2 linked regions of the Danio rerio genome follow. The protein of the gene in region 1 interacts with the protein of each later gene in a biochemical or structural test. Links are inferred from orthologs where the notes say so. Each region holds a gene or a part of one and is shown in the gene's direction. Other genes may lie near its edges.

Region 1 (4,635 bases):
ATTCAATTAAGAGTTTACATTTTTTCCCTCATGACTCTGAGAAGAATGATATATTTAAAGATAAATTTAGCAATTTAATCAGTATAGGCTGATAACAAGTGGTTTCTATAGCATTATTGTGCTGCATAAGCGGTAAAGCATCTAATCTAATGCTAATCTGCATCTAAAAATGAATTAGATAATAAAGGCATTTACATAAAGCAGCAAAATTTCATTGTGTTCAATTCAAACATCACATTCTGATCACAGATGAGGATTTATTGAAAATGCCAGCAGTTGGCAGCAAATGATCGTATTACTAATAGAGTCGTTTATTTAACCAATTAATTCGAATCAATGATTCGTTCAGTTAGATTTGCTACTAAATGTGTTGAATTCATCAGTTGGCGAATGTCATAAGATCACCGTACTCAACACAACTGATACATAACATTACTCGGCTCATTTAATTTTAGACAATTGTCTAATAATGTAGCTACCCGCCGGTTATTAAAACAGTCCATGCTTCCAAATATTGATGCGTTTCATTTATTGAACACCATGAAAACTAAAGGAAAAAGAAACAAACAACCCAAATCTTTTACACAAACCCAATCAAAAGGACATCAAAATAAACAAATAACATACAAGGTTTCATTTTCCGTGTTGGCCTCATAACCAGCAGTAGAATAAGCAGTAGCACCCAACATGTGCCTGCATTGAGATCTCACTATCCTGTCCATACAAACTCTTGCACCTTACATCAATCAAGAAAGATCATGTGACCTCCGACTCAAGCCAACTGGAAACAAAGGAAATTTATAAAGTAAACATAAACCAAATACGCTTTTAAATAATGAAATACAAAAACAATCAACAACCAAAAAAATACAAGCTGACGGATCAGCGTCAGCTACAAATAACACTGCTAAAATAATTCATTTCATTTTATATAAAATAATAATTACATGGTGGAGCTTCTTGAGTTTGTTCAGTAAGGAGTGTTTGGATTGGTTGATTAAAAAAACTCACCACGATTGGCTAAACAGAATATCCTCCAAAAAAGATGTGTACGAATCATGTCCTACCAGAAATGTCTTAAAAATGTGCACACAAATTCAAAGGACTCCATGCTCGTGTGAGCATTTTCAAATGCACATTCAATGGTTTATAAAAACATATAACATAATTCATATATGCATGAAGAAAGTTAACAAAGAACTTCATATAAACATAATTGTGTAAACATTTAAAATGTATGTAGGTTGCTGCATATGTGTGCGCATTTGGGAAATATTTTTGCTTTTTACTTTTAAATTAATGAATTGTTTTTTGAATTGATGAATTGGAGTTGTGGATTTATGAATTGTGTTTTGAGTTTGAAAATTGTGCTGTGCATTTATTAAATTTATGAATGCAAATGTATTATTATTAAGACTGATATGACTCCATAGTGAACTGTCCCTTTACTGACAGAAAAATCTGTTACCTCCTTCCTGAGGGAGACCAGTCACAGTGACAGGTCTGAGACGCCACCTAGTGGCCAAACGTGTTTGTAACAGCCAGAGCTTTTCTCCTGTAAGAACCAATTTAACAGTATCATCATTTAGATCATTAAAGGCTGATGTGTAAAAAAATACATACGGGAAAGTTTCAAATTACAACATAAAAAAAAAAACAGCTGCAACATACATTAGCAGGCCATTAGCTTTCTCTCTCACAGACACAGCAGAACAAAATCTAAGAAAACTGCCTACTCATTCACAAGCGGGCAGGTTGCTGAGCAACTCCCACCCAAAGCCAACCTCAACCAAGCACACGATTGGCTTGCAGAAGATCATATCACACAGCAAGGACACTGAGAGCATCAGGAGCAGCATCTCTCTTCATCATTCAACATTCTACAAATCCTACTGCAGTGTTTTGCATGCGAGATATCACAAGATATCCACAATAAGGAGAAGAAAATACATTTAGGAAATTTGACTTTCTTTTGGGGGAAAATACCAGGTCGTGCTGCGGTGAAAGGACACAGGGACACTTTACTGTTCATGTGAAGGTGTGCAGGTGACAGACTTGGCTTGGTATGTAACTCTAGGGAATATGGATGAATTTGGTGAAGCTGATGGTGCAGTGTTTGTGCTTGAGTGTGTTATCCTATGAATGTTTGTTTAAGATTATGCTGAAGAAATATGCTGTGTGATTATAGAAAGCACGCTTTTTATAAACAAACGCTGTGGGTAAATATAAATTTTTTTTGCATTATGCTATCACTTACTGAAGAAATAATGTTAGAACTTTTTAGTCAACTATAAACTTAATTTAAATACAAATTTAATTTGAGATGGGTTTTTGTTTGTTTGTTTGTTTTATATAGCACATTTAATAGCAACAAATGTTTATTAAAGTGCTTAACAAATCAAAAAACACACAAAATCTATACTTGCATATGTAAACAAAATGAAATACAATCAAATGTAAGATAAGTTAAAGCGATATTAAAAAAAACAACAAGGGAAGACTTTGACCTGAAATACAAAGGCAAACCATTCCACAGACGAGGGGCTGCAACAAAACAAATCCTGTCTCCTTTTGTTTTTAATAGACACTCAGGAACACCCAGCTAAAACTATTGTGCCGATGGCATTTGATCTTAATAAAGTAAGATTGTTTAGCAAATATGCTTGTATGGCCATCTTATATCTTAAATCTAAACTGAGTTTAGGCACTCCTGATTTACAGTAGACGTTTCTAGTCTGTGTTGCATTGATATTTTAATTGAACCACACCAGAGTGTCTGAAAGCAGCCCAAAACTCATTTGGTTTGTTTTTTTGTGAGCACAAAGATTAAATGACAGCTAATTCATTAACTCTACAGACTGCAGCTCTGCACAAGACTTTTGGCCAGTGGAGAAATTAGAATGGTCGTGCCGAACAGAGTCTGGTTCTCTCAAGGTTTTTTTTCTTCACTCTCCTATTGGTAAAGTTTTTTTTCCCTCTCCGCTGTCATCACTGGCTTGCATGGTTCAGGATCTGAAAAGCTACTCATCGATGAATTTGCTCTTCAGTGTTTGGACTCTCAATAATGATTTAAACACACTTAACTGAGCTAAACTGAACTGAACTGAACTTAAACACTAAAAACTGAACTACCCTGATCCAGTTACTATGACCATTTATGTGAAGCTGCTTTGACCTTTTACAGTCATTGGCTTTGACACAAGCTACATTGTAAAAGCACTATACAAATAAAGCTGAATTGAATTGAATTAAGAGAAGTTTCACAAAATAATTTCGAGAGGAGCATGTGGTCTCTCATCTACAATTATTAGTAAGCCAATTAGATTAATCCAAACTCACTACAAGTAACCTGGCTAAAATTAGTCCCTTATCTTCGTTTTCCAAATAAACCCCCATCCACCCCATCTCCCCCTTTCTTCCTTTACCACGGGGAGCTCTTGAGAACTACTTGATCTCGTACTGCCCTTACATGCTCAATCGACCAGATGGGAACCCTGGGCTCAATTATCTTCGAGCTTAGGGTTTTCTCCCGGGACAGCATTCCAAATCTGACAAGTGTAAATGTGCACAGTATAATAACAGCAAAAACTTACAGCCTACATAAGGGATTTTTCCATATATTAAGGTTGCTGAGGTAGTCAATGAAGATGCTGTTCACATACACAGTATAGGCCCTTTTTATATAATTTTTTTTACATTATTTTTAAATAGTACAATTTTTTATAACCTTCGGTGCATCTTCCATTGGTATATATCCACAGTTTTACTACAAATACCATGGTTGGTGTTGCAAAACCATTTAGGATTAGGCTATAGTTGACCATGAAAACCCCAAACTAACTATTGGTAAATCATACCATAGTTTTATCAAAGTAATTGTAGTAAACTTGTGGTTATACAAAGTGAAGTCGGTGCAACCAAGATGTCTTCTAAATTTTACTGTGAAAAAAAATGCTTGATTTTTGCAAGGAGTCATTTTAAATTCATAGAAACATTCTCAAAAGTTTAAAGGTTTGAAACACTTGCTTTTTTGTAGGTGGCTGCCATAAATGAAAACATACTGCTAATCTAATACTGACCGCAACGAAAACATTAGCTGTGTGTGAATAATATCAGTGAAATGTCAGTTCAGTAGCGCACATGTTCTGCTTCATCCTGACATCATTCTCGCTCTCGCTCTCTAGCGCCATCCTCCCTTCGCAGGACACTGAAGGAACTGTCAGGGTTTGCTCACTGGCTGACTGCTGCAGTTGGACAGACAATAACTCAGAGTGCTACAGAGGTAAGTCAAACCGGTTTACAATCTTAAAGATCAACATCTAACAGCGATTCGTCATTAATCATACAATAAGCTATGCCTTTAAGCATCGGCACAGTTTTTACACTTACAATCACTGTATAAGTCTTAGGATGTTAGTAAATCCGACTGTTGGGTGTGTGACTGAGACATAATGGGCCTGATTTTCTTTATAGATTAATGGGGGAAAAGAAAAAAAATGCATGTCATTTCACTGAGATAGCATCGATAAGAAAGTGCACCTGAATCTGCTGGATTTCTTTATGCATTTGCATGAACCGGTACTTATCTCCAAGGATACACTATATTAACGATACACATTTAATTCAAATGAAATA
Region 2 (3,844 bases), on another chromosome or scaffold:
TATGTAAATAAAAGAGCAGTTATTAAACAGATGGATACTTATTCAAAAATGTTTTTATTATTATTATTATTTAGTTTTGTTTCGATTTTTTGTGCATTCATTTTAGAATCAAACAAAAATGAAATCCCTTAAAATGCATGTGTCATTAACAGAAACATTCATAGACGAGTTATTAGTATTTTTATATTATTTTGCATACAAAATTATAATTAATTGCATCTGTGAACATTTCAATAATTATAATTTGAATAAAAATCAATTATCTTTTAAAATGATTTTAAAACTATTTATAAAGTATTAACCGTTCCATGTAATCTTTCACCTAATTTTTTATTTGTTAGTTAGTTTATTTATTCTTTTTTTCTGAGAACCTATTTCTAGAGGTTTTATGTAGCTAATCATAGAACAAAAAGTGTTTCATAAAAAAGACACAACATTTATGCATCTGGCAAACACTTTTATTCATTGTGACTTAGCTTTACACTGAATTTACATAAAAAAACCCCCAAAAACAATTATATAAGTAACCCACAACCTTTGCGATGTTAATGCCAAAGCTCAAATATTTGAGCTCCAGGAGGAATAAACTTTACACAGAAAATTTATGTCATAAATATAATTTATTTTTCTTTCTATTCAATAAAACTTAGCGGATCATCTGTGATAACCTAACCTATGTAGATAGAAGAGCAAATATTGAACAGATGGATACTTTTGAAAATGTTTTTACAATTTTACATTATTATTATTTATGTTTTTATTTAAATTATATGTAAATTAATTTTAGGATAAAACAAAAAGGAAATTCCTTAATATACATGTATGATTAACAGAAACTAACATAGGTAATTTAGTTGTTTTTATTTGTAATTTTGCTTACAAATTAAAATTACTAACATCTCTGATCATTTTAATAATTAGAATTTTCATAATCAATAATTTTCTAATTTACTTTTTAAATAAACTATTTATCATTCTGTATAACCTTTCCCTTACTGTGACTTTTGATTGGTTATTTTTTTTTTTCATGACACGATGGCTCACGGCAAGAAGTTTGCTGGTTCATGCCCCATGTTGGCATGGGTTTCCTCTGGGTGCTTCGATTTCCCTCACATTTCAAAGATATGCGCTATAGGTGAATTTAATAAACTAAATTGGCCGTAGTGTATGTGTCTGAATGTGAGAGTGTATGGATGTTTCCCTGTACTGGGTTGCAGCTAAAAGGGCATCCGCTGCATAAAACATATTATGGAATAGTTGGCGGTTTATTCCGCTTTGGCGGCCCCTGATGAATAAAGGGACTAAAGAATGAATGAAGTTTTTTTCTGAGTACGTGTTTCTAACATCCTCTCTTTTTCAAGCTCTCTGTTGTGTATCTGTAAAATCTTCCCCTGATGGATGCGGTTCCAGATACCAAAGGTTCTTCAGGACCTCCGAGAGGAACGCCAGAAACAAAAGTGAGGGAATGTTTACAATCCAGCACCCTAAAAAATTCTATTATTAACCATTTCATCATGACATGTTTCTGATTTGCTGTTTTTATCGGTGTCTAGTTAATAATCCACAGGTTTTCTCGAAGTTTGCCCACTTGATCTCTGCAGCGTCTCAGCTTGTTGTGCAGACTTTTAAATGTCAGGTGTGGGAGCTAGTGCTTTCTATTTTGAGCTAGATTTTCGTTTTAATAGTGAGTAATCTTTAAAACAGAACAATAAGAAGAATCTACAAGAGGCCAGGAGAAAAGGCAGAATGGATCGGAGCAAAGCTGAAGAGGAGATGAGCAATGAACTGCAAAATCTGGTAAACACTTCATCACACACTTCATTAAAATCTGGTAAACACTTCATCATAGTTACTAGTTTCTAATGAAATCTGTCTGAAATATCAAAGTTGGAGTCATAATTATTAGCCCTTCTGAATTATTAGCCCCCTGTAGAGTTTTTTTCTCCTATCAGGGCTCAACAATAAGGACTGCCTGGTGGCCCGGGGCCAGCGTGCGAGGCGCTCTGGACAGTAGACAGAATAGTTACTGGCCCGATTCGTAGTGCCTTGTCACAAAAGTTCTGCAACTATTTGTCATTTGCATTTGAATACAGTCTTAGAATCGAGAAACAGTTTGTGCTTTTAAGCCTTTAAATGCTGCCTTCTCAGTGATGTTGTAAACACCATGTTGCTTTTTGGTTCCTTCTATCTGATTGGATGTTGTGAGCTTGTTGTTTTTTTGTAACCTGGTAAAAACCAGTACAGCGAAATGAATTTATGAGGCTAAAAGAATGTCTTGTTAGCAAACATTTACGTGGGTACAATGCGAAGATATGCTCATTATACATGTTTTAACAGTTTAAAAATATAAAAATTCTAGATTCAAACACATTTTTGACACAATATTAAAACATGTGGCTAAGAAATAGCTATTAACTTAACTTTTTTTTTGGTGGGGCCAGTGAAAATATTGGCAGGGCAAGTAAAAATCTGTACCGCTGGCCCAATCGGGCCAGTAAAAAAAATCCTTAGCGTTGAACCCTGCCTATTTCTGTTTAACAGAAAGAAGTTTTTCTCAACACTTTCCTGAACATAATAGTTTTAATAACTCATTTCTAATAGCTGATTTCTTTTGGGCGAAACAGTGGCGTAGTAGGTAGTGCTGTCGTCTCACAGCAAGAAGGTCGCTGGTTCGAGCCTCGGATCAGTTGGCGTTTCTGTGTGGAGTTTGCATGTTCTCCCTGCGTTCCCGTGGGTTTCCACCGGGTGCTCCGGTTTCCCCCACAGTCCAAAGACATGCGGTACAGGTGAATTGGGTAGGCTAAATTGTCCGTAGTGTATGAGTGTGTGTGTGAATGTGTGTGTGGATGTTTTCCAGAGATGGGTTGTGGCTGGAAGGGCATCTGCGTAAAAACTTGCTGGATAAATTGGCGGTTCATTCTGCTGTGGCGACCCCGGATTAATAAAGGGACTAAGCCGACAAGAAAATGAATGAATGAATGATTTCTTTTGTCTTTGCCATGATGACAGTACATAACATCTCCTCATGGAATCCATAGTAGCCATTACACTTTCTCCCTCCAATAGCAAATAATACACATATTTCCATCTTCATATGGTTATGAAAATCTCTTGACAACACTATGGGGATTTCCTAGGTTTCTTCTTTGTGTGTGCTTGGCATTTCCATGTGAGAGCCCCCTCTGGCCGTTGGATGAGATTTATACTGATCACACAACCATATTTCATTAACAAGATGTGCATGACAATCGCAGCTTTGCTCAGTTGTGTTTGCAATTTCATTTTGATTATTCAATCAGATCTACACAAAATCACAAATAGCTTGTAGAATAGCAAGAACATTTGGATTTTCCCAACAATGCCAATCTGCTTGCTAAGTCCTACACAACTTCTGGGTCCAAGCGCTCTATCAAACTTTATATACACTCACCGGCCACATTATTAGGTACACTTTACTAGTACCAAGTTGGACCCCGTTTTGTCTTCAGAACTGCCTTAATCCTTCATGACATAGATTCAACAATGTACTGGAAATATTCTTCGGACATTTTTTTTCATATTGACTTGATAGCATCACGCAGTTGCTGCGGATTTTGTCGGCTGCACATCTATAATGCGAAACTCCCGTTCCACCACATTGAAAAGGTGCTCTATTGGATTGAGATCTGGTGACTGTGGAGGCCATTTGAGTACAGTGAACTCATTGTCATGTTCAAAAAACCAGCCTGAGATGATTCACACTTTATGACATGGCGCATTATCCTTCTGGAAGTAGCAATCAGAAGATGGGTACGTTGTGGTCATAAAGGGATGGACATGGTCAGCAACAATACTCAGGTTGGCT

Evidence for each region. The genes of interacting proteins can lie anywhere in the genome.
Region 2: the proteins of maptb (region 1) and hdac6 form a complex in vitro, tested with the Homo sapiens proteins (4 studies listed by BioGRID, with this or other methods). The link is inferred for Danio rerio from reciprocal best matches to the Homo sapiens genes MAPT and HDAC6.

Annotation. Positions count from the first base shown.
Region 1 is NC_133178.1:20,949,780-20,954,414, reverse strand, and holds the start of maptb (uncharacterized protein maptb), read left to right. Parts: upstream 1-1,814; 5' UTR 1,815-2,063; intron 2,064-4,184; 5' UTR 4,185-4,282; intron 4,283-4,635. UniProt on the Homo sapiens protein: Promotes microtubule assembly and stability, and might be involved in the establishment and maintenance of neuronal polarity.
Region 2 is NC_133183.1:8,972,776-8,976,619, reverse strand, and holds part of hdac6 (protein deacetylase HDAC6), read left to right. Parts: intron 1-1,361; 5' UTR 1,362-1,394; coding exon 1,395-1,457; intron 1,458-1,704; coding exon 1,705-1,797; intron 1,798-3,844.